Linked DNA regions of Mus musculus. The protein of the gene in region 5 interacts with the protein of the main gene of each other region in a biochemical or structural test. Links are inferred from orthologs where the notes say so. Each region holds a gene or a part of one and is shown on either strand. Other genes may lie near its edges. The genes, in order: Pml, Sp1, Ube2w, Sumo1, Rnf4, Ube2e1 and Parp1.

The links.
Region 1: of the proteins of Rnf4 (region 5) and Pml, one has a biochemical effect on the other in vitro, tested with the Homo sapiens proteins (3 studies listed by BioGRID, with this or other methods). The link is inferred for Mus musculus from reciprocal best matches to the Homo sapiens genes RNF4 and PML.
Region 2: the proteins of Rnf4 (region 5) and Sp1 form a complex in vitro, tested with the Homo sapiens proteins (2 studies listed by BioGRID, with this or other methods). The link is inferred for Mus musculus from reciprocal best matches to the Homo sapiens genes RNF4 and SP1.
Region 3: the proteins of Rnf4 (region 5) and Ube2w form a complex in vitro, tested with the Homo sapiens proteins (2 studies listed by BioGRID). The link is inferred for Mus musculus from reciprocal best matches to the Homo sapiens genes RNF4 and UBE2W.
Region 4: the proteins of Rnf4 (region 5) and Sumo1 form a complex in vitro, tested with the Homo sapiens proteins (5 studies listed by BioGRID, with this or other methods). The link is inferred for Mus musculus from reciprocal best matches to the Homo sapiens genes RNF4 and SUMO1.
Region 6: the proteins of Rnf4 (region 5) and Ube2e1 form a complex in vitro, tested with the Homo sapiens proteins (2 studies listed by BioGRID, with this or other methods). The link is inferred for Mus musculus from reciprocal best matches to the Homo sapiens genes RNF4 and UBE2E1.
Region 7: the proteins of Rnf4 (region 5) and Parp1 form a complex in vitro, tested with the Homo sapiens proteins (2 studies listed by BioGRID and IntAct, with this or other methods). The link is inferred for Mus musculus from reciprocal best matches to the Homo sapiens genes RNF4 and PARP1.

Annotation. Positions count from the first base shown.
Region 1 is NC_000075.6:58,246,987-58,251,212, forward strand, and holds the start of Pml (protein PML), read right to left. Parts: upstream 2,801-4,226; 5' UTR 2,705-2,800; coding exon 2,555-2,704; intron 453-2,554; coding exon 1-452.
Region 2 is NC_000081.6:102,404,950-102,409,115, reverse strand, and holds the start of Sp1 (transcription factor Sp1), read right to left. Parts: upstream 2,801-4,166; 5' UTR 2,701-2,800; coding exon 2,694-2,700; intron 1,843-2,693; exon of another isoform or gene 1,701-1,842; intron 1,345-1,700; coding exon 1,184-1,344; intron 901-1,183; coding exon 1-900. UniProt on the Homo sapiens protein: Transcription factor that can activate or repress transcription in response to physiological and pathological stimuli.
Region 3 is NC_000067.6:16,616,452-16,620,503, forward strand, and holds the start of Ube2w (ubiquitin-conjugating enzyme E2 W), read right to left. Parts: upstream 2,801-4,052; coding exon 2,786-2,800; intron 1-2,785. UniProt on the Homo sapiens protein: Accepts ubiquitin from the E1 complex and catalyzes its covalent attachment to other proteins.
Region 4 is NC_000067.6:59,668,035-59,672,163, forward strand, and holds the start of Sumo1 (small ubiquitin-related modifier 1), read right to left. Parts: upstream 2,801-4,129; 5' UTR 2,658-2,800; coding exon 2,646-2,657; intron 1-2,645. UniProt on the Homo sapiens protein: Ubiquitin-like protein that can be covalently attached to proteins as a monomer or a lysine-linked polymer.
Region 5 is NC_000071.6:34,349,750-34,353,249, reverse strand, and holds part of Rnf4 (E3 ubiquitin-protein ligase RNF4), read right to left. Parts: intron 3,339-3,500; coding exon 3,179-3,338; intron 2,461-3,178; coding exon 2,412-2,460; intron 2,020-2,411; coding exon 1,870-2,019; 3' UTR 1-1,869. UniProt on the Homo sapiens protein: E3 ubiquitin-protein ligase which binds polysumoylated chains covalently attached to proteins and mediates 'Lys-6'-, 'Lys-11'-, 'Lys-48'- and 'Lys-63'-linked polyubiquitination of those substrates and their subsequent targeting to the proteasome for degradation.
Region 6 is NC_000080.6:18,329,045-18,333,246, reverse strand, and holds the start of Ube2e1 (ubiquitin-conjugating enzyme E2 E1), read left to right. Parts: upstream 1-1,402; 5' UTR 1,403-1,560; intron 1,561-2,112; 5' UTR 2,113-2,145; coding exon 2,146-2,297; intron 2,298-2,320; exon of another isoform or gene 2,321-2,351; coding exon of another isoform or gene 2,352-2,383; intron 2,384-4,202. UniProt on the Homo sapiens protein: Accepts ubiquitin from the E1 complex and catalyzes its covalent attachment to other proteins. Catalyzes the covalent attachment of ISG15 to other proteins. Mediates the selective degradation of short-lived and abnormal proteins.
Region 7 is NC_000067.6:180,578,891-180,582,390, reverse strand, and holds part of Parp1 (poly [ADP-ribose] polymerase 1), read right to left. Parts: intron 3,238-3,500; coding exon 3,023-3,237; intron 1,859-3,022; coding exon 1,756-1,858; intron 1-1,755. UniProt on the Homo sapiens protein: Poly-ADP-ribosyltransferase that mediates poly-ADP-ribosylation of proteins and plays a key role in DNA repair.

The DNA.
Region 1 (4,226 bases), on a different chromosome or scaffold from region 5:
GGGTTGCGGTGGTTGGTATTGGAGCAGAAGATATTGGACTTGCGCGTACTGTCGAGGAAGCTGCTCACTGAATTGTCGCGGAGATCAGCCAGGGGCCGGGCCTCATGCTTGAGGTACCACTGGTGTGCTTCGAAGCACTTGCTGCAAATGAGCTGTTCACACTCGAAACACCAGAAGTCGGCCAAGCCTTTGCAGCGGGTGCACGCAGCCTGAGCATCCACGATCTGCCGGAACACCGCCAGGCGCCGCTGCAGGCTCTCGAAGAACACGTTATCCAGGGCCTCCCCATTAGCATCGGCCTGCCCAGGAGCCTTGCAGATGGGGCACTGCAGGCCAGGCGCCTCCAGGCATCCGGAGCACAGCGTGTGCAGGCAAGGCAGCAGTTTGGGGCACTTGGCTTGGGCCTGGCAGCTCGGGCAGCGCAGAAACTGAAATTCCTCCTGTATGGCTTGCTAGTGAACCAAGGAGAGAAGTGAGGCCTACAGAAAGCCCAGACGTCTTGTCCCCTCCACTGGCCGCCCATCCCTTCAGCTGGAGATTGGAGAGGGTAGGACCTCACATTCCATTCCTGGGAGTCATTGGATCATGTCCTGGCTTATCGGCACCCCAGTTCCTCATTTACTTCGAGCCTTGCAGCTCTCACTGCACAATTTACCGGGCACCCATCTGCTTATCATTAGACTCACTAGTAGGTCCTGAGATACAAGATAGGATAGATACATCTTTGCATTTAAGGGACTCAAGTTTGGAAAAGTATCAACTTCATATAAAGTGCTTAACACAATTGGCAGGATGACCCTCAAAAAGTTAGACTTAAACTACCGTATGACCAAGCTTCCACTTTCCATATATATACTCAAAAGAACTGGAAAAAATATCCAAGCATATAATTATATACTAATGTGCCTAGCAACACCCCCACAAAAGTCACAGTGACCCAAGTGTCCTTAGCACATGAACGCATGAACAAAATGTGTCTGCAAATGTAACAAAATAGTATTCACCCTGAAAGAGGAATGAAATCCTGATACATTCAACAACCTGGATGAACCTTGAAGACATGGTGAAATAATATGCCTGCCATAAAATTAGAAATATTGTGTAATTCCAGTCATGTCATATAAAATAATAATAGTTAGTTCATAGGTATAGAAGGTGGAGCTACTGTTCAAAGAGCTCAATACCATGGTGCCTGGCACATGAGAAATACCCATAAGTCTAATCCCAGCACTCAGGAGGCAGAGGCAGGCGATTTCGAGGCCAGCCTGGTTCACAAAGTGAGTTCCAGGACAGCCAGGGCTATACAGAGAAACCCTGTCTCGAAAAACCAAAAAAAAAAAAAAAAAGAGAGAGAGATTGAGAGAGAGAGAGAAGTACCCATAAATGTCAACTAGTATTTTTAATCCTTAGCTATATAATGCTAATAATAAAAAGTTAGGGCAATGTGACCTTATTTGTGTTTTTTGTGAAGGGAAAAATGAGTGAAGAATAATGGGATGGAGGTAGTTCCTTCCAGGGTGAGTATGGAAGGTTGAGGCAATACTCCCAGGAAGGCCATGAACTAGGCTTCCTTAGGAAAATGAGCTTGGTGGCGCATACATTAATCCCAGAGCTCAGAAGGCAGGCAGGTGGTTTCTATGAATTTGAGACCAGCCTGGCTTACAAAGCAAGCTCCAGCCCGGCCAAGGCTACAGAGTGAGACCCTGTGTTCCAAAAGATAAAATAAAATAAATCCCTAAACCTCATACACATAAAATAAATTGATGAAAATCAAAAGAGAAAGCAGCTGTGTGAATCCTGTTGGTCTTAGCAGGCACTTTGGTCTGAGCCAGGTTCTGTCTGTTTGTTTGTTTTGTTTTGAAACAGGTCTTGCTGTGATGCCCTCAGCGGTCTTGAACTCTCTTTGTGGCCTAGGCTGGCCTGGAACTTGTCATCCTCCCTCCAGCCCTACCATCCCAAGCACTATTGCTCCTGGGATGTGCAACCACAGCTGAAAAACGGGAAGTGTTGGTGTGGGGGTCAGGGAGGGCGACTATAGTTTTGCCAAGTCTGGGACATGCCTTTAGCTCCAGGCCAGAGCAAATAAGACTCCTGGCCAGGCCTTCCACAGGACTATAGTCTTTCATCTGAGGTAGGCGCTTCAGGCAAGGCTTCAGGGAGTAGGAGTTACAATCCAACTATCCCCAGTTACAATCCAACTCATCCCGGTTTTTTTTTTTTTTTTTTTAGACAGGGTTTCTCTGTGTAGCCCTGGCTGTCCTGGAACTCACTCTGTAGAGACCAGGCTGGCCTTGAACTCAGAAATCCACCTGCCTCTGCCTCCCAAGTGTTGGGATTAGAGGTGTGCCCCACACCGCCGGGCCCCTGTTCCTATTTTACTCTAGGCTATCAGTTCTACCTCTGCCCAGCCAGGAGGGTCAGGACCTTGGTGTCTCTTTAGGACACTAACCCATTAACTTACTTCTCTATAACGACCTTCTTCATCCTCAACTCCTCGACCAAAGTAAACGAATAAAAAAACCTAATAGCCCTACACCTTCTAACCCAGTAGTACCTCTGCAGGGCTTTGGCTGTGTTCATAGTCTTCGGAGGGTTCCTCTGGGGGAGGCATGGTGGGCGTGGGGGTCAGGGCAGAGTCCTGTTGTCGACAGGGAGATCCAGGGGGTGCAGGTACCTTCTGCACGGAAACTGGTTCAGTTTCCATTTCTTGATTAGGTCTGTGAAGGCGGGAAATGGGTCTCAGATCTGAGCCAGAAAACTGAGCGAGAGATTGCCCGAGGAGAGCCCGCCTCCCGAGAGGAAGTGAGACAGGGCTGGGCGGGTCTAGGGGCGGAGAGGCTGGTTCTATAATCTCCCTTCCAAAGTTAAGAGAAAGACTAGGGAGCTATGGAAGTAACTCTGGTAGAGTCAGAAAGGTTAACCAAACAAGCAAGTAAACAAGCCCGGCATGCGGGCATGGCTCATTAGCAGAACAAGGAAAGATCCGGCCACGTACGCAGCATGCACACCAGGAGAGAAACAGAGCTGACAGGCTTTTCCCTGTCTGTGAGCTATTGGACTCATTCCACAGCTATATGTCTTTCTAGTTAAAAGCCAGGTAGAGAAATAAACTCCTCTTTGAGAGAGCCTCCCAAGTGCACCCTAGTGGAGACTTCGACTCAGTACTGGGATGGGTTTGCCTGGAAAGGCATCCCTCAGCTGAGAATGGAGCATGAGATAGAAAATGACCAGGAATTCAGAGCTGCTCAGACATTTTAAAGAGAGACAAACACTTGGAAAGGAGTGGAGGTCTGAAACAGGAGAGCCAGTTTGGGAAGTAGTCAGGGCCATTTTCAGATTTAAGATGGGGCTCCTGCGAAGTGATACCAGAGAAGATGAGATGAATCATACGGTGAGAAATGGACCGATTCTACATATGATCTGAGAGTTGGTGAAGGGTTTCTTACAGCGTGTCAGCTGCGTCTCTTGAATGACCTTGAGGCAGGTGGCCTATGAGAAGTAACTGTGGGACACAGAGTTAGTTCTGAGTCAGTGGAAGGACCGTGGTGACAGAACAGCGTTGAATGGGTCTGATGACTGTGCATCGTACAGAGGTAGACAACAGGGAGGCAAGGGGAGAGCTGGCCAGCAGTGGTGAAGAAAACAAGAGATACAAAGTTAGCTTTTTGACCAAGAAAAAGCAATCCAGAAACTAGTGGGTGAGGAAAACACACACCTGCTGACACTCTCATTGGCCAGTGCCTTTGGCTTCTAACTTCAGTCTGTTCCCACCCACTTTTCTGGCCCCTATGTGCCTATTCTCTGTTCCTATGTGAAACTGATTAAAAGGGATGGTAACAGGTTCCTGCTTTTGTAAACTTAGAGTTGTGGTGAGATGGGTTCTAAAGGGAGACCCAACATCCTGGAGACTGTGGAGGCCATACATCTAAGCTGACCAGTATCCCTTGGCCTTTAAAATTAGCCCATCAAGGGCTGGAGAGATGGCTCAGCGGTTAAGAGCACTGACTGTTCTTCCTGAGGTCCTGAGTTCAATTCCCAGCAGCCACATGGTGGCTCACAAGCATCTGTAATAGAATCTGATTCCCTCTTCTGGTGTGTCTGAAAACAGCTACAGTGTACTCATATAAATATTTTGAGTAAATATTTTAAAAAATTAGGCCAAGATCAGTTATATTGTGTACAAATATTTGTGTTTTCTTTCCTCAATTTTTTAAATTATGTGATGT
Region 2 (4,166 bases), on a different chromosome or scaffold from region 5:
CTGGGGCGTCTGGCCTTGAGAACTAGTCCCTGATGAGCCACTGCTGGTAAAGTTCATAATTCCCATGTTGCTGGTGGTAGTAGTTGTTGAATAACTATTGGCATTGGTAAAAAAGGAGCTGGAACTAGCTTGTGATGACACCAAGCTGGCAGAACTGATGGCAGTCCCTGAGGTGACAGGCTGTGAGCTGCTCTCCTGGGATCCAGAGCTGCTGATAGTGCCTGCCTGAGAGCTGGGAGTCAGGGTAGCTGCAGAAACGCTGTTGACAGGTAGCAAGGTGATGTTCCCATTCAGGGCCACTGGTACATTGGTCACATACTGAGTCTGTCCTGAGAGCACATTATTAGCAAGGCCTTGAAGGGGGACAGCCTGCTGGAGTAGATTTGGCATAGCAGCAATAATGTTGCCCCCACTTCCTCTATTTGGGATGATCTGTTGGTTTGCACCTGGTATGATCTGTATTTGACCAGAACCATCCTGCTGCACTTGGGCCCCAGTGGCAGCAAACTGCAGCTGCTGCCCATCAACAGTCTGGAACTGTGGGATTACTTGATACTGAATATTAGGCATTACTCCAGGGAGACCTGTCAGAACTTGCTGGTTCTGTAAGTTGGGGGTAGCAGCCACAACATACTGCCCACCAGAGACTGTGCGGTTCTTGGAAGACTCGCTGCCATTGGTACTGTTGCCACTCTGTTCCTTTGAGGTAGGGGTAGCCCCAGAGGAGGAAGAGATGATCTGCCAGCCATTGGCACCCTGTGAAAGTTGTGCGGCTGTGAGGTCAAGTTCACCTGTGCCCCCTGACTGACTCGGACCCTGGGAGTTGTTGCTGTTCTCATTGGGTGACTCAATTCTGCTGCAGGTTGCTGCCAGCAGAGCCAAAGGAGATGGCTGGGATTCCTGGCCAGAAGAGAGGAAAGGAGTTAGTGGCACCCAATAGCTGGCCTAGGGGGCAGTATTCAACAGACAAAACAGCAACAATGCAGGAATATAGAGCAAAAACCAGAAACAAAATGCTCACTTTCTGTATACTGTTCCAACTTTCGTATCTGGGGACCCTCTAGATCACCTATCTTTCTGAGTGTACTTCCCTACTGTATTTTTCTTCCCAGAATTTTTGGTTAAGGAAGTTTCTAAGAATATTTATACCCTTTCAACACATTCCCCATCCTTGATCACTCACCTGCCCTCCTCCGCCACCACTGCTGCTGCTACTGCCTGTGCTGCTGCTTCGAGTCTGAGAAAAGGCGGCACCGCCACCATTGCCGCTACCCCCATTATTGCCACCAACATCTTTTTCAATCTTCACCACAGCTGTCACTTCATCCATGGAGTGATCTTGGTCTAAAAATAATTACAAAAGAAATAAATTAAGTGTATGTGTGTGTGTAGGGGGGGGTGTGTTAAAAACAACATAAGATTTAAAATTAAGGATTTGACCGTCAGCAATGACTGACAGAACAGTTTTTAAAAAGATCTTAGCCAGATAGGTCTAAATATGGTGGTAAGCCTAAAATCCCAGAATTTGGAAGTGGAGGCAAAAGTTCAAAGAAATCCTCAGCTACATAGTAAATTGGGATGCCAAAGCCATAGACACATAGCTTAATGGTGCCCAAGACAGGCCACTATTTTCCTATGCACAAATTAACCCCAGAAATGACTCAAAAATTGCTTTGGAAGCTAGGCATGGTGACTCACACCTATAATCCCAAGACTTGGAAGGATGAGCCAGGTGGTTCACCAGTTCTAGGTCTTCCAGGCCTACAGAGTAAGAACTGATCCCAATACAAATAGCCCTTTTGAGAAAGGGAATTTGGAATTTCAGTGTCTCAGAAATAAAGAGTTGCTCCTTAGGGTTGATAGCACTCTTAATCCCAGCACTCAAGAGGAAGAGGCACCTAGACAGCTAAAAGTCTGAGGGCTGCAATAGTAACTTCGAGTTACTACGAATACCACATAGAACCTATCTCAAAAAAGAAAAAAAAAAAAAATGCATCCTGGAAGGAAAAGGAGACCCAACATGTGGGTGGATGGAAAGTGTGCTAAAATTAGGACTATAAGAGATGAAGAAAGATCTAGTGTAAACAATAACAGGAAGGGACTGAGAAAGAGTAAATCCTAAGAGAAGGTGAGGAAACATCTGAGAGGACAGGTAAGGGTCTAGGGATTAGAACCCAGGTTTGGGGCTGAGGAGGCGGTCCAAAGAAGGAAGGGGCGGTTTCGGGGATAGAGGCGTGGCAAGGGCGGGTCGGATGGGGGAAGGGAAATTTACGGGGGTGCGGGGGAGGGCCCGGGGCAGGCTGCGACCGGAGGGCGGGCGGACCGGGGAGGCGGTTGGCCCAGGCGGGGCCTGCACTGGTCGGGCCGCCCCCGCGGCGCCAGCCCCCGACGGGAGGAGCCTCAGGCGGCCGGCCGGGTAGTGGGGGGTAAGGCCCGTCCCTCGTGGCCGGGGCGGGCAGGGGGCGGGCGAGGCCACGCTGCCCCCTCCCCCGGGGCGGGTAGCCCATCCCCCTCCTCCTCCGAGGCCCCGCCACTGCCCCTTCTCCCTCCCTTCCCTCCGCCCCGGGCGGGACCAAGGCCGCCGCCGCCGCCTCCCGCCCGCCCCCCCTCACAGCGGGGACCGCCCGGTCGGTCCTCGCGCGCGCCCCCTCACTCCCCTCCCACCCCTAGGCTCGGAGTGGACTCATCCTTACCGCTCATGGTGGCAGCTGAGGGGCGAGCTCAAGGGGGTCCTGTACGGGGGGGTTGGGGGGGGCCGGGAAAAACGCGGACGCTGACGAGGCAAGCGAACCCGGACCGGACAGGGAGGGGGGGGTAAGGAGGAGGGAGCAGCGCACCACAAGCCCGGCCTAATCCCCGCCCCTTATCTACTGCCCCGCCCAATGAGGGAGGGTGAAAGGAGGGCCTTGCAGAGGAAAGGCGGGCTGCCTACCCAATGGTAGGACTCGCTCTCTCGCTGAGGCGTGTAAGAGCAAGTTGCGTACTTGGTTTCCGCCCAGAAAGGCCGCCCTCTCAGTTTTAGCAACCAATTAGAAACTCAGGAAGTGGTGGTGGGCGGGATGAGATGACGATGGACTTGCAGAGAAACCAGTCAACCTCCAGGCGGGCTCCGTGAGCGGTAGGGATAGGAAGAGCTTAAGTAAGAAAGACAGGACAACGACCAACCAGAATCCTGGGCATGCCTGGGCAAAGTCCGTGTAGGGGGAAGAGTAAGAAATAGGCCGGAATGGGATAGGAGCAAGCTTCCTAAACCAATCAGAATTCAGGCGGGCAGTTAAGAAAGTTCTGATTGGACGATAACTGAAAAGAGCCGGAACAGGACGCGTATTGACGTGAACGAACAGCCAATTACGCGCCGAGGAGAAGGTGGAGGCTGGAACTTGGAATGGGGAGAGGAGAACAGGCTTCCTCCTCCGATACTCAAGCCAATGAGGCAGCGAAGGCAGCATGGCACCGCCTCTAGCTTTGGCCAATGGTCGTTACAGGGCCGCCCATCCTGAGGAGGGAACCGGGCTGTGCCAAAAGGAGTTGGTCGCCATGTTGGCCCTCCTCGGGAGGCTTCCTTCCCTCGTTAGGGTGTGCGCTTGAGTGGAGCCCTCCACAAGTGTCAGAGTCGAGACGCGTGAGGGCGAGAGTGTCGCGTCGCCCGAGACTGTTCGGGTTGTCCCTTCCCCGCTCCTACACAGCACCCCTCGAATGTCACCCCTGCCGGGATGGGCGGGCGGCTCCCCCTGGCCGTGGGTGGAAGCCCTGCGGCGGCGGGCGGGACGACAGCTTGGTGACGGCACGCGAAAACCCAAGTCGACTGAGCTGACCAATATGGAAGTCTTTCGGGAAGATGTAGCAAGCGCCATTTTCTTAAGCTGCCCCAGACCTGCTAAACCAACTCAGCTTTCAGAGTAACGCACGCTGGGGAACTTCGTGAAGCCAAGCTCTCATAAACTACTTCCATTTTCCCTCTTAGTAGAAAGCACGCTAACCTAGTTACTTCCTTTTGCAATCACAAAGGTTAAAGATTTTGCCTTAGGCACCTCAATCTCTGGCCTCCATTTCGCCTTCTTTCTCCTCATTTAAACTTTGTCACTGACTGGTGTCACCACGTTTAGTACTTGGAACTAATACAGTTAATCACTTAATGTGTCCTACTTTACGGGCTGGATGCTCCT
Region 3 (4,052 bases), on a different chromosome or scaffold from region 5:
GCAGCTTCCCCACAGCACATGGGCATGAGAACAAAACCCTGTATCCCTCACCTTCCTAGCCAGCTTCCGGGCTGGGCTCTTCCAGCCGCCAACATCGTCATCTATCTTACTGTACTTAGTGTGAATGGAAGAAAGTTGAGAAGCACTGGCAGGATGCATGACAGCAAAGTCAGACACAGTGGAACAACCTGCAAGCCCAGGACTCAGGAGACCCAGGCAGGAAGAGCGCAAATGTGAGGTAAGCATAGGCTACCCAGCAAGAACCGGTTTCAATGAATGAAGATAAAACACATAAAAGCAAGCTGGGCAGTAGTGGCGCACACCTTTAATCTCATCCAGCACTCAGGAGGCAGAGGCAAGTGGACCTGAGAGTTTAGGGTCAGCCTGGTCTAGTTCCAGAAAAGCCAAAACAAAAACATAAAGGTAATTATAATCTCAAAGTCCACATTCTCTAGTTAGAAGTGAAGACTTTCCTTACTTGGTTTTACTATATATAAAAATTATTTCATTGTTACCAAGTAATCAAACCCCACATTACATATGTATGCATGTTTTTAAAATACAGCAGCTTAAGTAACCTTTTCTTTAGCAAAAACAATATCCCCTAGGGTAAGATGAATTAATGAACACATTTGATCACTTATAGTGTTATGTTAAGTTATTTTGAAAAGAGTTAACTTCTGCTGTAAAGATGGTCAGGAAATAAACTTTGAGCAAAGATACCAAATGAAAACCACACCAAAGAGTGATTCTGCTATTGAGCTGAGAGCCAGTTCAGAAGTTAAGAGAAAGAACTACTCTTGAGAAGACCCTGGTTTGATTCCCAGCACCCATAGCCAATACCTGGCAAGCACCTGTAACTCAGATCCAGAGCAGGTGTGGCCTACACAGGTACTTTCATACCCACATACCCACCCAGAGATAACATACACAATTAAGAAATAAGAAATAAATCTGTGTCAAAATGCTACTATTTCCAGGAAAAATGATCAGATACTTTAAAAGAGATACATATAAAAGGTCAAGATTTAACTTTAGAACAGAAAGGATCCGTTCCCACTCTAATCCAACAAAAGAAAGACGCTGCTACTCTTCCACAGCACTGCCTGAGGCATAGAAACAGGCATAAAAAGCACTTTCCCCCACTGCTGAAGACAAAGTAAATTCCAAAAATAGCAATCTCTTACAAACAAATCTGCCTTTTCCAAAAACTAAGTATAAAAGCTAACCAGCTCTCATGCCAGATACAATCCCAGTGTGGATTTTAATCTTCATTTTTAGTCTTAAATAATGCCTGTATCTTAAGACAGATCACCGTCAAGTGTTAGTAACAAATAATGTCTTAATACAGATAAAAATCTTAAAGCAATCATATAGCCCATCTGCTGTCAACTGATGTTCCACAGTTCCTTTTTTGGCCTCAAATGATGAAACTTCTCTAACGTCTCTGGGGAGACTAGTAAAGTATAACGTTTCCTGAAATTGTTCTTGTTTCACTGCACCATTTCGTGACACCTCTTCACCTAAGAATGCTACTGCAGGAAAGGCCAAAAGTACAAGCAAATGCAAAAAGAATACCATAAGGAAAGCTGATTGAAGGAAGATACAGGGGAAGGAGGGAAATGCGTAAGAATGCAAACCATTGCTAGCAGAGAAGCGCCAACAACGAGATCTTGCTTATTCTTCTAGAAACAAAAACCAAAAATTCTAAGGAAAATGCGGATGTTACTCGAGGATGATGTTAAAACTCCAAAAAGCGTTCCGCTGACACGCTACAAGAGTTCTACTCTCTCTTCCTATGTGCTTTAACACCGCTAGCCCTATCTGCAAATTAAATGCCGGCTATAGATAATGCAATCTCTAGAAACTACAATTGTGGTTGCCATCTTTGCCTGAAAATTTTTTCTTTTATTGGATTTGCAAGGGGGGGGGGGAATACATTAAGTTGGAAGCTACAAAAAACACCTTCAAGTCTGACAGAGCACAGGTTAACAGGCGTCTCCTACCAAACTAAGGTTTTAAAGGTCTGGGAAAGAAAGGCAAAGGAGCCACGGCCTTACCAATCCCGCAAGGGTGGGGCATCGCAAGAAAAAAAAATTTAAGAGGGCGAGTTTCTATCGAGGCCGAGGAGCAGGCCCACGAGCTCGCACGTTGTGGTAGCACAGGACGCTGGGGACAGGGACGAAGGGCGGCTTCGAAGAAGAGACGTGGGCTGCCAGGGAATGCCCAGAGTGCGGGCTGATAGAAGGAGGCACCCACCGGGCACCGGATGAAGATCAGAGAAGAACGAGCATGAGTCCGGCGATCCGAGGCTGCGCGTGGGAGGCCGGGCAGAGGCCGCGGAGCGCCGTGGGCAGGCGGCCGTCCTCGGCGAGGGGCTCTGCCGGTCTCCGGCCGCCCCGACCGCGGGTGACGGCGGCGGGCACAGCTGTTTCCACCCCGCTGGGGAGCGCGAGGGGAAAAGCATCCCGGCGGTGGCCAGGGAGCCGAGCGGCAGGCATCCTCGCGTAGGGGCGCGGAGCGGAGCCCCCACCGCGAAGCGCACGACGAACTTCGCCCTTTCTTCCCCCTAAGCCGCCTTTATGCCACAACTTCGCGGCCGCTACTGTCCGCGGCCACCGGCCGACACCCCCGCTCGGCTCGCCGCCAGGCGATCCCCCGACGCCCCGAGGTCAGGGAAGGTCGCCCGGAGCCAGGCCCAGAGGTCTCGGACGCCGACCCCGCGCAGACGCTCACCTCGTCTCGATGGCCCCCTCGCCCTCCCCGCTGCAGCAGCTCCGCTCACCTGCATTGACGCCATGATGAAACCATCCCCCCAAGGCCAGCGAGGCCCGAGACGCAGGGGGCGGAGCCGCCGTGCTCGCGTCACGCCGCGGGGGCCCAACATCCCGGGCACGGGGGTGGAGTCGCCGATGGGAAGGGGCCCGCGTGTCCGATTGGCTAGCGCGCGGGTGCCCGGGGCGGGGCGGGGCGGGGCCAGGCCGGGCTCCCTAGGTACCTTGCATCCCAGCCAATTTATACGCGGGCCCACCCTCAGTGCTGGCGGAGGCGCTGCTCCAGGTCGGACTGAAGCGTTATGCCGAGGTCACAATGCTGTCCGGGCATTTGGCAGGGAGGGGATCTCATTTTGTTTTTCCAGCTACAAGTGTAAGATTTACAGCCCACCCCCTTCATATGTCTTTTTTACACCTACCGTGTTTTCGCTCCTGAGGCAGATACAACTTCGCCTGGAGATGCTTTCTGGTATTTGCAGACCTAGGAAGCTTCTACTTTGAGGGGCAGAGAGTCACAGGTTTCCCTATAGGACAGAATGAAAACTGAGAGCAGTGATCTTAAAAGCAAGAACAATTGGATTTGAAACGTGCTGGAAAGGGAAGGAGGGTGAATAATGGAGTTCCCTTTTGTGTGCAATTTTCTAGTTCCCTAACCCTCTAAATTGTAAAGTCCAGGTATACCATAAGAGTCGTTGTTACATCAGTCTTACTTTTGATTAACAATTTGACTCTAGCCGTGAAATCTCAATATAATGAATATAGTTTACGTAATTTAATACTTAATACTTAATACTTAAACCTTCTGCCATGCCTAGATTTCTCTTCACCCTATTCTGTGGTGGGCAGTTGCATGATCAGACGACCTATGAGTGAGCTTGAGTAGAAATCGCTGAGCATACAGAATTTATTCTAGGAATGCACCAGTTCTGCCAGCATTTATCAGAAGTCACATTTTTAAAGCTCCTCCGGAACCAAAGATGTCGTTTACTTAAATACCAAACGAAAAATGGAAGCCAAAAGCTTGCACCTCATGTCCTGTCTCTAAAGGAATCAGAGAGGATGGCATGTTGAGTAGAAGGCTTTTACTTTACCCGGATGAAAGTTTAAATCTTTATTTTTATTGACTTGGCTTCATTTTTAGACATTTCTCTAAAATATAAATATAATGGTGATGTAGGTTATCACTCTCACACTTAAGCTAGAGCACGATGTTCCTCTGAGAACATCCGTAAGGAAATGTGTTCAAGAGAGGAAAAGATGTCTAAATCTGCCAGTTTT
Region 4 (4,129 bases), on a different chromosome or scaffold from region 5:
CTTCTTCTGTTGTGTCTGAACACAGCTACAATGTACTCATATATACAATAAATTAAAAAAAATAAAAACCTATCAACTGAGCCATGGTGGTATATACATTCTGGGAGTAAGAGGCCGGCAGATCTGAGGACAAGCTGATCTATAGAGCAAGTTCCAGGACAACTAAGGCTACAGAGAAACCCTTAACTTGAATCAATAAATAACCCCTAAAAAACGTTAGCATACATTTTTATTACTTTTTTTAAAGACAAAATTTCTAAGAGTAGCAGCACTATTTCATATGCAAATTGCTTTAATGTGTAGCTCAATTAAAAAGACTTGTTTTGCCAGGTGTGGTGGTAGACATCTTTAATCCCAGCACTCAGGAGATAGACACAGAAGAAACTGTGAGAAGCTGTAAGGCTACAAAAAAGATTTGCTCCATTTTTCTGTCATGTTTCTTAAAAACTTCACTGAATATCCATGAATGAGAAAAACAGACACACACACATACATACACACACACCATCTAGGCGTGACAGTATAACTCTGTAATCCCAGCTACTCTGCAAGGCTGAGAGAAGTCCAGGTTCAAGTTCAAAGGCAAGCTGTGCTACAGTCCAACCTAGGCAACTTAGTGAAACAAAGTAAAAGAAAAAATGAGGCTGTAGCACTTGCCTGGCAAGCACATGTGGGAGGCCCTAGGTCCAACACCTAATAACCCCGGTGACCAGTGAGGTGAGTGCTACAGCAAGCAACAGTGTGACTTTGCGATCCCCTGAAACCCTGTGTGTGCCCTTGGGTCCTCCTTTCTTTCTCCATATCCTTATATAATGTGAGTTCAAACTAGAGCAAAACTAATCCTAAAACTTAGAACTCTTTCTGTGTGTTGCCCTCTCTTCAGGCTAACATGCTTTCTAGCTCTTCCAAAATAGAAGGCTGATGAAACTTAAGCATTAACCCAAAAAAAAAAGAAAAAAAAAAAAAAAAAAAAGAAAGAAAGAAAAGAAAAAACAAAGGCCAGGCGTGGTGGCAACGCCTTTAATCCCAGCACTTGGGAGGTAGTGGGGGATTTCTGAGTTCAAGGCCAGCCTGGTCTACAGAGTTCCAGGACTTAAGCATTTACAGCTGATCTTTCTGAGCTGGTAACTAAGTAAACAACTGTCATAAACAAATTATTCATAAAGTCATTTCTATCCCAAAAGAGGATTAATTCAGATTATTAATAAGTAAATCCATGCCACAATTAGTCTACAGTGTAGATAGGCTATAAAAATAGAACCACCCTGGCCAGTCTGTGGTGGCACAAGCCTTTTATCCCAGCACTCAGGAGACAGAAACAGGCCGATCTCTATAAATTGGAGGCCAGCCTGGTCTACAGAGTGTTCCTAGAAAGCCAAGGCTACACAGAAAATCCGTGTCTCAAACAACAACAACAAATTTTTTTTTTAAAAAAGTCCAACTACATTGTGAAGTTGAATGAAAAAGTTTACTGAATAATTATCACAAAAGAAGAAAAAGTTAAAAAAAAAATACTCTGAAAATTAAGTCATCTGAGCAAACCAAAGCAAAGTCAGACCAAAACCTTATGTATATAAAAACTAGCCACAAAGGTAGTAACTAAAATAGGATGAAGAAAAATTTAGGTGGCAAGGAGTCACTCCTATTTGAAGGCAAATACCATGCAAATCCTTGATTCCAAAACCGAGACACACTGTTTTACTACTAATTGACAGCTTTCTGCAAATATTCTGCAATTGTACAACACGGATAACTTTTTTTTTCTCTATTTCTTCGAAAATTAGTTCAGAAACTTCTGGAAGAGAGGTTTGGGGGTGCATATAATCTAAATGCGTCATCTGATTATCAAAGAACAAAAAACGTGCTATATTTTTTTTTAAAGTGCCAAGCATCTGCTGGTTAAAGCCCAGACGAAATGGCTTGTTGGTGGTGGCACTCCATACACAGTTTGCTGTTTCTCGGTTATTCTGAGCGCTCTGAGAACTGGAGAGTTGATGGACCAATCCCGAGTAAGAAATGGAAAGTACAGCGAAAGAGCGGACCGTTCCGCACCCCCGGAAGGAAAAAAAAAAAAAAAAGACTGAGGTGTGCAGAGATGGACGGACCCTCCAGGCAAACACAACGGAAAAGCAGCGTCCTCTGGGCTCCCAGTCACCTCAGACACGGCTCCCCGGCCGCCCCCCACTCTCCGGGACCAAGAACCCAAAGTGGAGTCGAGCTGCTTTTCAGGGCCACCTAGCCTCCCAGTCGGGGATTTCCCTCCCGTTACATAACTGGGCCTAGGGCCTGGTTTCTGCCATCCGTCGTCCGAAGGGAAACGGTCGTTTTCCCCTCAGCTTGCTCTCGGGGACAAGGGAGCGGGCCTGGGCCCCCTGCGAGCCCGCGAGAAACCTGGGCGCCGTCGAGAGAGCCCCGGCGCCGGGTGGCGCGGGGGTAGGGGCCTCGGAGAGGGGCGCGGAGGGCGCGTGGAACCCAGAGCCCCGGGGTCCCAGGCGGCCTGGCCCGACTCCGCCAGGCGCCCCGCGTCCCTCGCGGCCCCCTCCCCACGGGCAGCCCCCTTCTCCAGCCGCCCCCTCCCCCGCGCCTCAGTCCAGGGCCCCAGCCCGCGGCCGACGGCCCTGAGCCCTAAGGCCCCGGCCCGGTACCTGGTCAGACATGGTGACGTGGATTCACCCGGGGGTCTCCGCACCACTGCGGCCTCCGGCAGGCAGAACCTCACTCTGAGGTTTACAAATCCGTCCCTTCTCTACAGCACAACACCGCGGCTGCAGGGACTTCCTCTACGTCTTGCGTCACTTCCGCTGCGCGCAGAGGCGAGTTAGCGAAGACGGGAAAAGGAAGCGGGAAAACGCCGTAAGGAAGGCCGGGGGCTAAAATCCTCCAGGTTGTAAACTACTTGCCTGGAGCAAGAGAACTGCTAGGACTTCGGAGGGAGGGAGAATCAGGCCCGCTGCCGCAGCCCTCAGGGAGACCAGCGCTTTGCCTGCAGGCCGAATGTCTGGGGTCAAACTGACTGCTTAGGCTCCTCCCGGTGGGACGACTTGCGCGCTTCTGAGGCCCGGACCAACCCTCACTGAATATAGTGAATTACCCGTATAGTATTTTTATAGGCCCCTCATGCTTGCTGTTGCCACATTCGTGACTCCGGGTGATAGAGGCAGAGGCTACCGGATCTCTGTGAGTTCGTGGCCATCTTCATCTACAAAGTGAGTTCCAGGACAGGACATAGAACCCTGTTGGGGGCGGGGGAGATGAGGGGGCACAAAAAGACGACCCTTCAGGACACATCTTTTGTTCTTGTGTTTTGAGGCAGGGTCTCACTAATAGCCTTGGCTATTATAGAACATTGCAATGTCAACCAGACTGGCCTCCAACTCGTAGAGATCCTCTTGCCTCTGCCTCCCAAGTGCCACCACACCCCCAGCTAGAACAAAGTCTTGGTGGCTACAGACAACTAAAATGCTACTGAAAGTTTTGAAGTTGTAGGCAGGAGCGCCTTCCAACGCATAAACTAGTTGCCTTGTGTCATAGAAAGACCTAAACTGCTTCCTTTGAATACAGTGACCTTGCACAAGCATTCAAGGAGGATTAAGGTTATAATAAGTAAAGGGGGAAAAATGAAAACTTAAATCAAAAACCCTTCACAGAACAAGACATTAGTAAAATAATCTTTTCTGTAAATAGTAATGAGCCAACTATAAATGACCCAGTAGTCAAAGAGCACTGGCTACTCTTCCAGAGGACTCAAGTCTGAGTCCCAGCACCCATGCATGCATTCAAAACTGCCTGTAACTCTAGTCCCAAGAATCAGATACTTTTTTCAGCACCAAGCCAAAGCCTGAATGCGGTTCATAAACACATTCAGACAAAAACACCCATACAAAATTAAAAATTAGTAGGTACAATATAATTACTAATGAAAATACTGAACATTCACATGCGAAAGGAGAAAGAATTTAAATCCCTATTTCACTGCATATACAAAATTAAAATGTTTCAACGGTGTTTATGTAAGACTGTTTTAGGGTTTTTTTTTTAAGATTTATTTATTTATTTTATGTATATGAGTACACTGTAGATGTTGCAGATGGTTGCAAGCCTTCATGTGGTTGTTGGGAATTGAATTTAG
Region 5 (3,500 bases):
TCAATTTAATTTAGGATAAAGTAATAGAACTTTTATGATCAACTTCATACACCGTCCTTGAGGAGAAAACAAATTTTTAAGTGGGTGTTACCACATTTACTGGTGAACTGGCTGCATGGTTGCCTTGTCTCTTTGAAGTCTGGCTTTCATTAGACTAACAAGACCAAGTCCATGAGGCCCACAAAGAAATCAATGGCTGTGACATCCAAGGGGGAGAGGAGAGCACACACATCACAATGATGAGAGCTAATGCTCTTACCCTCTGAGTCCATGTAGAAAAAAAAAACCTATTACTCTCATTCAAACTAACTGAAGTCAAACAGCTAGAAAGTCAGAATGAAGAATAAAACTATTTTCTTTTCACATAGAGGAGGGCCACTCCTTCAGCTCCATTTAAAGTGAATTCTGTGCTGAGTCCCTGCTCCTTCAGAACATTACACTGAAAGTCAGTTATTGCTAGCAAAGCTCCAGTGGTCCCTTTCCCACCTCAAAGATGTTTCACACAAAAAGGCTATTGGTTTGGCTTGAAGCCCTCTGAGGAAGTAGTGTGGAGGTGGAGGCAGGCTGGCATTCAAGGCCTATCCTCTACAAGCCGCCCTGTGCCTGGTGTCCCCAGGGGCAATTTTCCACCTGTCTCCGTGAGCACCAGAGTCTCCCACACATATACGGTGGAGCAGACATTGTTATGTGGTCCCACTGGAAGAGGCACCATGCTTTGCTGACCAAAACCCACTGAGCAGTCAAAAGTCCAGAGGATCAAAGCTCAACTGGCTAGAAGAGCAAGCAGCTTTGGAAATACCTATCTATTCAAGGGGTGTGGGAAAAGCTAGGGCAGTGGAGGTTGAGTAGGGCAACACCTCTGACAAATGGGCAACGGTGACTTGGGCAAAAGCATGTAAGTGAACAGCTGATAAGGCCATTGCTACTGCTACCACCTCCTATTATACTATGCTTGAGCAGACATTAGGCAGTGGGAACTGAAAAACTGAGGGTTGGAGGGCACTGTAGACAACACAGGACCCATCTTAGCATTAAAGAGAGGACACTCAAACACTTGTCCTATTAGCCTTCAATGTTCTGTGCCAGTAAAAGAACTTTGGAGCATGGGTAGGGTTCCTGAGAACAGCTGGTGAACAGACATGGGGTGGGATGAGCACTGCTCCCATAGGCGACACTGGGCTGAGGATACCAGCAGTGCTACAGCTTCCAGATTGCTGAAGAGCAGGTGAAGAACGGGTTTTATTGCACTTTCTCATTCTTAGGGAACAGGATCGTCCTGCAGAGTCACTGGATTTGCAGAAAACACTGCACACCAATGATGAGTTTCAGGCGGAATCATAGGTCACCTCTGCTCTCGTGGGAAGGAAACTAAAAGTCCACCTTTTCGTGGCTTTTCGTGGGCAGCTCATGCACTGGTATCCTTGGGCTATTTGGGCTGTCTGGCCAGGTCACTGTCTGGCAGGCAGAACAGCTAACTGACAGGTGCCTTGGGAAGGTTCTGCACACACAAGAGCTGGGGCAAACTTTCCCAACAGGGAAACTACTTGGCCAACATGTAAGCTCCATAAAGAGGCTGGAGCCATGATGCTCAACCCCAATATGCCCGACTCCTTTTTTCCCTACTCTGGGCTCAGACCACCCAAAGGGGCAGTGATGCTGAGCTGATCTAGGAGGATCCCTGGACCGTGCTCCATAGCATCAAACGAGATAACAAAAGGATCTAAGGGGTTGGAAAACAAAAGACCAGTTTACATCAGACATTGATTTTTGAAAGTCTTTTTGAGCTCAGGAAACTGGAGGCAGATACCATGCAGAAAAGGCCAGCCTGGCTGTCTGTCCATTGGTCTATCCTGAGCAGTTGTGAACATTTCATATATAAATGGGGTGGTACCGCTTATGGTTGATCTTTTTCCTACAAGTTGGGCAAGTGTTAGCATTCTTAAGGGAATCACGGAGGCACTGGCTACAGAAGACGTGGCCACATTCTGTAGAAACAATGAGACGCCCATTCTGCACAATCTAGAAGACATTAAAAGAACAGCCTTAAAGTATCCCTTTTTCTACAAAGACCCGAACCCACCCATCACCAAAGAGACAAGTGAAACAAAGAAGGGCCTGGGTTGTATCAGAAAAAGCAGTACACTCAAGAGTTTTGAACGCTGTCTGTGTGACAGGTGACAGACAGGACTTCCCCAGGTGCAGCAGTACAAAGTGGCTATGGGGAACCTCAGAAAAAAATCAGCAGCTTCTAGATAGGGCTGGGTTGGAAAACATCGATTTGCACAAGGGTTAAAGATAAAATGTACAGGGCCCACCACCAACTGGCACAATCCACTTTGACACACACTTTCTCCAAGTACTTTTGAGTAAAGTAGGGCAAAACCAACAGGAGAAACAACTAGGTTACTTACCTCAGAGTATCCATCCATACAGATAGGACAACTGACGGTACCTGAGGGCCTAAAATCACAGTGCTTTGCATCAGTTTTTAAGTAAACTCAAAATACTTGATTAAACCCTGTAAAGCAACCTCACATACGCAGTCATATCTTCTCAAGTCTCTCATTTTTGTTGAGTTAGGACAGGCACCCAAAAAACTTGAAGAGAAATTAACTGCTTGAAGGGCTGGGCTCCAAAAGCCATTGAAAAGGGGAATAAGCAAGAACAGGTCTAGAAGATGTGGACAAGTAGGCTTGCCCACCTCTTTTTTTTTTTTTTTTTAAAGATTTATTATATATAAATACACTGTAGCTGTTTTCAAACACACCAGAAGAAGACATCAGATCTCATTACAGATGGTTGTGAGCCACCATGTGGTTGCTGAGATTTGAACTTAGGACCTCTGGAAGAGCAGTTAGTGCTCTTAACTGCTAAGCCATCTCTCCAGCCCGCCCACCTCTTTTGCTTCCAGCATTCTTGCTAGTAGCACCTGTAAACACAACCTACTTATAACCACTCCATGAGCGAAAAGCACACCCTGGTCAGTATGTATGGCCCTGTCTGTCTGTCAATTGGTCTATCCTGAGCAGACAGCTGAACCCAACCCTGTATTCCAAATATGCCTACCTAGCTGCTTGGAAGATACTTGTTCTAGAGCAAGAGCTTACATACCTGATAGCAAATGCAGAATCTATATACCCTGGCCTCCACCCAACACAACAGCAGCAGAGCTCTTTACCTGGGTCCAGTAGCTCCATCATCCTTGGTGCTTCGAGGAGTATGGGTAGTCACGTACACATCTTTGTCCCTAGACAGCTCCTCATCATCACTGCTCACCACACAGCTGTCAGCATGGTCTTGGCGCAACCTCCTCCCATTTCTCCTTGGCCTTCTCCTTTCTAAGGAAAAAGCCACATTTTCAGCCATCTTCACCTAACCCACTTACCCTAGTACTTCTAAAAGCCTTTCCCTCTGTTTGAGATCTTCAGGGACAAACTGCCACCATAGTAGCTGTACCCTCAGAAGGTCCTGTCCAGGCACTGAGGCCAATCACTTGCCTT
Region 6 (4,202 bases), on a different chromosome or scaffold from region 5:
GTGGATATGCTGTGAGCTTTCTTTATATCATGTGTGTGTGGTAACTGAAGCCACTGTTGCCATGGGAAGCAATGTCAATTTGAATGAGGTAATTTAAAGTGGACCATGGAAATTCGAGTGCTGTTGTCTGCTCAGTACACAAGATCTCTGTGAACTTGGATGGCAGGGGTCTGTTCCCTTCAGGGTAAACGGCAAACTGGTAAGAAACTAAGTCCTAATTTAATGGTGGAATTAAAAAAAATAAATTTCGGTACAGTGCCACACAAGGAACAATTTAGTGGCATTGTTGTGTGATTATCCTAAAAATATTATTTGAATAGCATCATATTGGAGTAAAAAGAAAGTAGGGTGCTTTCTAGAACTTTTTTTCCCCATTACTAAGACTCAGACATATCTAATTTAAGAATTCCAAATCCTGAGGCAGGCGGATTTCTGAGTTCGAGGAGAGCCTGGTCTACAAAGTGAGTTCCAGGACAGCCAGGGCAAGTCCTGTCAAAATCATTGGCTCAAGGTTTATTTTCAGTGATCTTATAATCCCAAGCCCGGTCGTAGTTACCTGTCCCGAACCCCAATTGCATACATTAAAAAAAAAAAAGTCCACATCCTTTTCAATAACAAGTGAAAGGGGAAGGAGGGTGGTATCTAGTATAAAATTGCACATGCCTGGTGTCCTGAACAGAATCCCAGTCTGGGTTTTTTCTCACAGGCGTGACCTCTGCTCCAAGCACGTAATTGCCAGAGGGAGGAACAAGTGTCATCAGCTCAAAGGAAAAACCTGTTAGGGGTCTTTTCCTTTCCTTTCCTTTCCTTTCCTTTCCTTTCCTTTCCTTTCCTTTCCTTTCCTTTCCTTTTTCCTTCTCTTTCCTTTCCTTTTTCCTTCCCTTTCCTTTTTCCTTTCCTTTTCCCCCTTTCCTTTCCTTTCCTTTCCTTTCCTTTCCTTTCGTTTCTCCTTTCCTCTTTTCTTTTCCTTTCCTTTCTCCTTTCCTCTTTTCCTTTCCTTTCTCCTTTTCTCTCCTTTTCTCTCCTCTTCTCTTCTCTTCTCTTCTCTTCTCTTCTCTTCTCTTCTCTTCTCTTCTCTTCTCTTCTCTTCTTTTCTTCCATTCTTTCTTTTCAAACGAATCACTTTTGGGGAGGAGTCAAAGTCCTCGCCAGGAGAGTACCATCTTTTCCCCACACCGGCCCCCTCACTCCCCAGCCTTTTCCCAAAGCCCTCCTGGGAAGAACTTCCCCTGGTCACCCCGGGCTCCACCTGCCCCAGTGGCCCCCAATCCCGCCCGGTTGCCTCGGCTCCGCCCGGCGCGGCGTCCCCAGGCCAAGCCGGGGTCGCTCGGGGCTCCCGGGCCGCGGCCCCCAGGTGCGGCGGGGGAGGGGCGCGGGGCGGGGCGGAGAGGAGGAGTGGCGCGGAGCGTGTGCGGCCGGGGAAGCCATTGCCTGGTTAATAGTTGCTGTTGCTGCACTTCCGCTTCTCTCCCAGTGAGAGCGAGACACGAGTGGCCAGGCCCAGTCGCAGCCGCAGCAGCAGCCGCGGCGGCGGCACGGAGCAGCCAGACACAAAGAGAGGTGCGGGGGCCCCTCAGGGCGGGCGGGCCGCGGGGCCTGGGGCCGCGGGGCCGGGGGACGGGCGGCACCGCCGGGCCGCGGGCAGCAGGGCCGGGCGACCGGGATGGCGTGGCGGGCCCGGGCGGCGGGGGCCGCGCGAACTGTCAGAGCGGCCCGGTCCCCGCGGGGACCCGCCCGCCCGGGGCGCATTGTGCGCGTCGGCCTGCGAGCGCAGCCCCGCGTGGCCCGGCCTGGCCAGGAGCCGTGTCCCCGCGGCCCACGCGGCCCACGCTCGGCTTGCTCACCCACTCTCGCTGCTCGGCTCGTCCCGACCTCGCCAAACTCGAGCGGACGCCGGGAGGCCTGGGGGACCGCGGCGGCGGCTCCCGGCCCTCCCCGGGCCGCCCCCGCGCGATCGTGGCCCCCGTGTCTCTTCGGCCGGTGCGGCGGTGGGCCCCGAGCCTCTGCAGGCAGCGGGGGCGGCCCGGCCCGCGCCCTCCTGACAGCGGAGTTCCTTCCCTCTTTGCAGCGCCTGCATGGTCTGTGTTTCTGTTTTGTTTCCTCCCCCTGCAGGGGCCGTTCGCGGGGTGGGGTGGGGGGTTCGCTATGTCGGATGACGATTCGAGGGCCAGCACCAGCTCCTCGTCATCTTCGTCCTCCAACCAGCAGACCGAGAAAGAAGGCAGCACCCCCAAGAAGAAGGAGAGTAAAGTCAGCATGAGCAAAAATTCGAAGCTTCTCTCCACCAGCGCTAAGAGGTATCCCACTCCTTTCTCCACAGGCATCCGAGCTTCCCAGTGGCCTCGTGCTGCATGTCAGGGAGGGAGGCTTCAACGACGTTCTCGTGAGTTCTCAGGCAGGAAAATGGGGCATGGGAGTCCCACCTGTTTTCTCTACTGCTCGCTGCTTCTGGTTTTGTTAGTGCCCTCGTCCATATGCAGGAGTTGTGGTTGGCCTCGTCCGTTTCTTGTTGAAGTTTCAAGAATCCTCATTACTTTTATGAGTGACTCCCAATGTGATTTCAGAGTCTTCATCCTAGTAATCACGAATCTCTGACTTCCCGGAGGCTGTCATCATACTTCATTATTAAGAGTACCTTCCTGGGCAACTCTGTTAAAACTAGTTCTGACCATCTTTCTTCCTCTTCACCTGTTGCAGGGGTGGTGTTTTCTGAATAGGGTTTTCTCCATACATCGCTTAAGGAATAACTAACTCTCATTAGCGGTTAAAAGAATGTCATGTTTTCTGGCAGAATTTGAAGAACCTTTGCCTGTTTGGAGAGTTAAGGGAGATGAAAGAATCAGTGAATAACTGTAAAATTATTTCAGTTATTTTTGGATTTTTTTTTTCTTTTCTGTTTAAAAACTTCAGTTTGACACTTTTCAGAAAGACTTGTTTTACTAGACAAGGTCTCTTTTGGCCCAAGCTGGCCTTGAACTTAGCACTTCTATCTCAGCCTCTTGATTGTTACAGAAGTGAGCCACTTAGTTCACCCAGCGATAATCTCTCTCTTGTGTAAAAAAAACCAGGTGGATAATTTACCTCTGTCAACCTTAAGTCACATTCTCTGATCCTGTGTTCCTTAAAATAATCTCTAGTAGATACCTGGGAGCCTGCCTCTCCTCTCCTTTCATACCCCCTTTTTTTGTTGAGATGGTTGGCCATAGTAAGGAACAGAAACTCGGCTGCTGGGGAATGGCATTCTTTAAAGAATTTTAAATGAAATGGAAGGTCTAAATGGCTTCGGGTCTCTCTGCTGAGTAGTGAGCCTGGAACTCAAAGATTGTCAGTTTGTTCTGTTGTTTTCCCTGAACTGAAATTCAGAAACTTGGTATGCTGTCTTAGTGAGCTAACTGGACTGATAGAGTAACTTCAGGTCATTTTAAATGGTTGCTGTTGAGGTCTGGAGAGATGGTTGATGCTTTGGTAAAACTGTTATCAGTTTCAGTGGTCTGATTATATCTCAGTCTCTCCAGGGTCTTTGATGAACCCCTGTGAATCTCCCAGAACCTAGATTCTATCCTTCTTGCTCAGGATGGCCTTTCTTGATCAACCCCGGCCTTGAGCTCTCTGTTCTACTTTTGACCTGTCCTGCCCCAGTGCAGGACATTAGCTGTGATGTCACTCCTGCCCCAGTGCAGGACATTAGCTGTGATGTCACTCCTGCCCCAGTGCAGGACATTAGCTGTGATGTCACTCCTGCCCCAGTGCAGGACATTAGCTGTGATGTCACTCCTGCCCCAGTGCAGGACATTAGCTGTGATGTCACTCCTGCCCCAGTGCAGGACATTAGCTGTGATGTCACTGGGGCTTTTACGTTGTGCTAGACATAAGGAGAAAATGGACAGGTATACAAAGTAGTTTTCTTTTTGTCAGTATAGTACAAATAAATAGATTTTCCCATAGACACAGCTTGTGTATGCTTAAGGAACTTAGAAACTTAGTTCTGGGCATAGTAGTACAGGCCTTTTGTCAGCTCAGCCCTTGGAAACAGAAACAGACAGATAGATGTCCTGTGAGTTCAAAGTGAGTTCCATGAGAGTCTGTCTCATGAACAAAATGCCAAACAAAAACATGTAAAACTATTTGATAGCTTGGATAGTAGTGTACTGGCCTAGCAGGCTTGAAACATCATCAAGAATGGTAAGCCCAGGAGTAATGGT
Region 7 (3,500 bases), on a different chromosome or scaffold from region 5:
TGCCTTGATCTTGGGGCCATCCCTGGGCACTGCGACATTACACAAAGAGGAGCGACTTCATTGCCATTGAGGCAGGGAGTGTGGGCCTCCTCCTTTTGGGATAATAAAAGGTCTGGGTTATACACTTTAGGAAGTCCAAGAGGTAACTTTTAGGGGGAGACTGGAGTAAGACAGAATCTCACTCAGGAACCCTGGCTGGCCTGACGTTCACTATGTAGCCCAGGCTACCCTCAAATTCATAGAAATTCTCTTGCCTCACTCAGTCTTTACTGGACTGTAAACGAGTTAATCAGGGCTAGCAAAATGGCTCAATGGGTAAAGCCACTTGCTACTGGCCTGATGACCTGAGTTTGACTCCATCATCCACATGGAGGCTTACAGCACCATCCCTAACTTGGCCCAGGTACCTGGATGCCCTTTTCTGACCTCTTCCAGCATCAGGCAAGCATGTGGTACATAAACATATACAGAGGTAAATAAAACACTCATTCACATAAAATTTGTATATATGATTGACTTACTTTGAAACCTCAACTCAGGTTACTAGACTAGGTAGACAGTGTTCTTCCTGGCCAGGCTCTACCGCCAGTGCCAGGCCCATCAGTGAGCCTTCCTTCTTCTGCATACCCTTGATGGGGCTGGGCTGGCTGTTTCTCCAAGGCTAGTATGACCAATTCCACCCTCAGGTTTACACCCCCCACACTCAGGCAAACCCCTGTACAATCAAAACAAAGCACAGAGAATCTCTTGTGCACTGTATGGCATCACCTGTCAATAGAAAAAGCTGTTGGCCTATTAGCTCAGGCAGGAATAGAAGGTGGGAGTTTCAGTGGGAGGAGAGGATGCTGGGATAGTTAGGTGCAGAAAGGGGATTAGCTGATGGAGATGGTCTGATGAACCTAAGAAGAGGTAACTAGCCATATGGCAGGACTTAGAATAAATGGGGTAATAAGATACAAAGTAGGGGAACTAGCTGAAGCTTTTGGCCTAGGCATTTATTCATAAGTAATCTAATCGCAGAATTGTTATTTTGGGAATTTGGATGAGGATGGAAAAGCCTACAATTACAATAAAGCCAGGCAATCCTCTCAGAATACATTTGCAAAGTATGAAGGAGACCACTTGTAAGTAAGACTGGATCCCTTATTGCATGGGTCCTGGTGTCACCCCCTCAGAAACCTGTTTCAAGAGACAGAAGTGACTGGAAATGCCTGGTCCCCATTATCTTTCCCAATACCCACTTGTAGATTTCCCTCACTTAAGCTCAAGCAGGTATATATGCGACCTCTTCTAGAACTGGGACTTTAAAATCTTGATTTCAATGTCTACAAAGTGCCTACTTTTTGCTGGTGTTATGTAGCATCTCATTCATTCTCACAACTATCTGCCAGGAGGTATGGCAGGGTGAGCCTCCACGCTCCTTGGGACAGCAGGCCAGGAGGGTTGAGCAGCAGGCTGCTCCTCCCAAGATGGAAAGGAGAGCGCTGGCCATACCGACACCAAGGAAAGACTTTAACTCCACTGACTGAGGCACCTACAAGCTCACTCCCTGCTTTCCACTCCCAGTGCTGGGCTCTCAATACCAACATCCTTATTACTACTCCCCATGGTAGGGCACACAGTGGGAGGCCAGAAGGTCTGTGAGCACAGGGCTCATGGAAATAGCAGACCTCTCTCTCTCTCAGTGATGAGTGTGCACTGGTCTCGGTGAGCAGGGTCGGCGGGCGGGCGTCTGTCACAGAGCCGAGGACTCACCTTGAGGGCCTTCTCCAGCTTACTACTATCCTTGTCCTTCCCTTTCTTAGATTTCTTTTTGGCCACTTCATCTGTTCCATCCACCTCGTCACCTTTTCTCTTTCTGAAAGAAATGCAGGACTTTATAAGAACCCACAAGACCGATGCTCAATGCAACCAGGTAACATGTCACTTTAGCCATTTTAGCTGCCCACCTGCCCTCTTAGGTACAAGTGCTACCTGCAGCCAGGCAGACAGGAGAGGCCACGCCCTTCAGGACCTTTTCTGCCAATAAGGAGGGGCCTGGAGTTCACCCTAGTGTCCAGGACGACCAGGACAGACCAAGGGCTCAGGTCACACTTCATGCTAAACCCCACATCTCTGGCGCAGAGTGACAGGGAATTGTGGAAAAGCCAAACACAACTGTAAGAACTGAGCCTGGAGTGAGACAGGGAGCTGCTCCCCAGATCTCCACGAGGCCTGAGTTCACCCTGGTACTTTCTAAAGCCACCTGCTAGGGACCAGCAGAACTTGTGGGACTATGGCGATAATGAGATCAGGCACAGAGCTGGGCATGTTCCACCTCTCCAGCATCACGTCATAAATAAAGACAGCCGGAGAATCCCAGCACCCTGTGCTGTGACAGTTCGAGGGCACCCTCACCCACTGGCCTGACTTGCTCACTTCACATTCCAAAGCCACCAGTGCTGCTCTATGAACCTGTGTTAGGACCACAAACAGTGCAAGAAGCTGCTTGGTGACAGTGGCATGGGTGTCGCTGATGAGCATGGTACAGTTCCACAAGGCTCAGCATGCTCATTAATAAGACTGAGACCCTTCCCATCCTAGATGCCGATTCCACATGTGGGCCCATCTGTTCTGATTCCAGGCCCTTCCCGCTGTTCATCTTTTTGTGAACAGTCATGATTCTCCCAGAGATGCAGACACAGAGACACCTCTGCTGCGTGACTAAGGCAACGTTAAAGGAACACAAATGCAGATCTTGGAAGCACAGCCATCACCAGAGCAAGGAAGCTTGGATGGCCACAAGGGTGGCCTTGTATGAGAAAGTGGCAGTCTGCTGTACTAACGCCTGGGTGCAGGAGTCGGGAGAGGTTCAGAAGCCCGGGAAGATGTCATGGTCGGCGAGCTGGTGGGTGGGTACTGGAGCAGCAGATGCCCTCTGCTCCTATAGCCTCAGAGCTCCTCTCTTTCTGATCATCATTATCAGAGGAATGGAATCCACAGGCTCCCCTAGAACTGTACATTCTAACCACATCCCACCTACCCTTCATTCTTGATGGCCGGGAGCTGCTTCTTCAGAGCTTCTTTGTCTTCTGCAGAGAGGAGGCTAAAGCCCTTGAGCTGACTGGCACTGTACTCAGGCCGGAAGCCCAGCTCGTCCCGCTTCTTGACAAAGCAAGTTGGATGGTACCAGCGGTCAATCATACCCAGCTGTGGCTTCTCTGGATCCACCATCTTCTTGGACAGGCGCATCTGGCCCTGTAGGGAAAATCATGAGGTATCTAGGGAATAACAAGGCAGGACAAGGACCAGCTAACCTAGGGCCTTGAGTCCAAACAAAGGCACATGAAGCCAGCTTGAAGCTCTCAAAACATTCTGAGTTTTACACCATCACAGACTGTGAGGTACCCTTAGGCCCCAGCACTCACACTCCATGAGACTGATACATGACCTGCTATGCTAATAAAGACCTTGCTTACACATCTTAAATGACTACCTACATACCTATACTTAGACAAGTA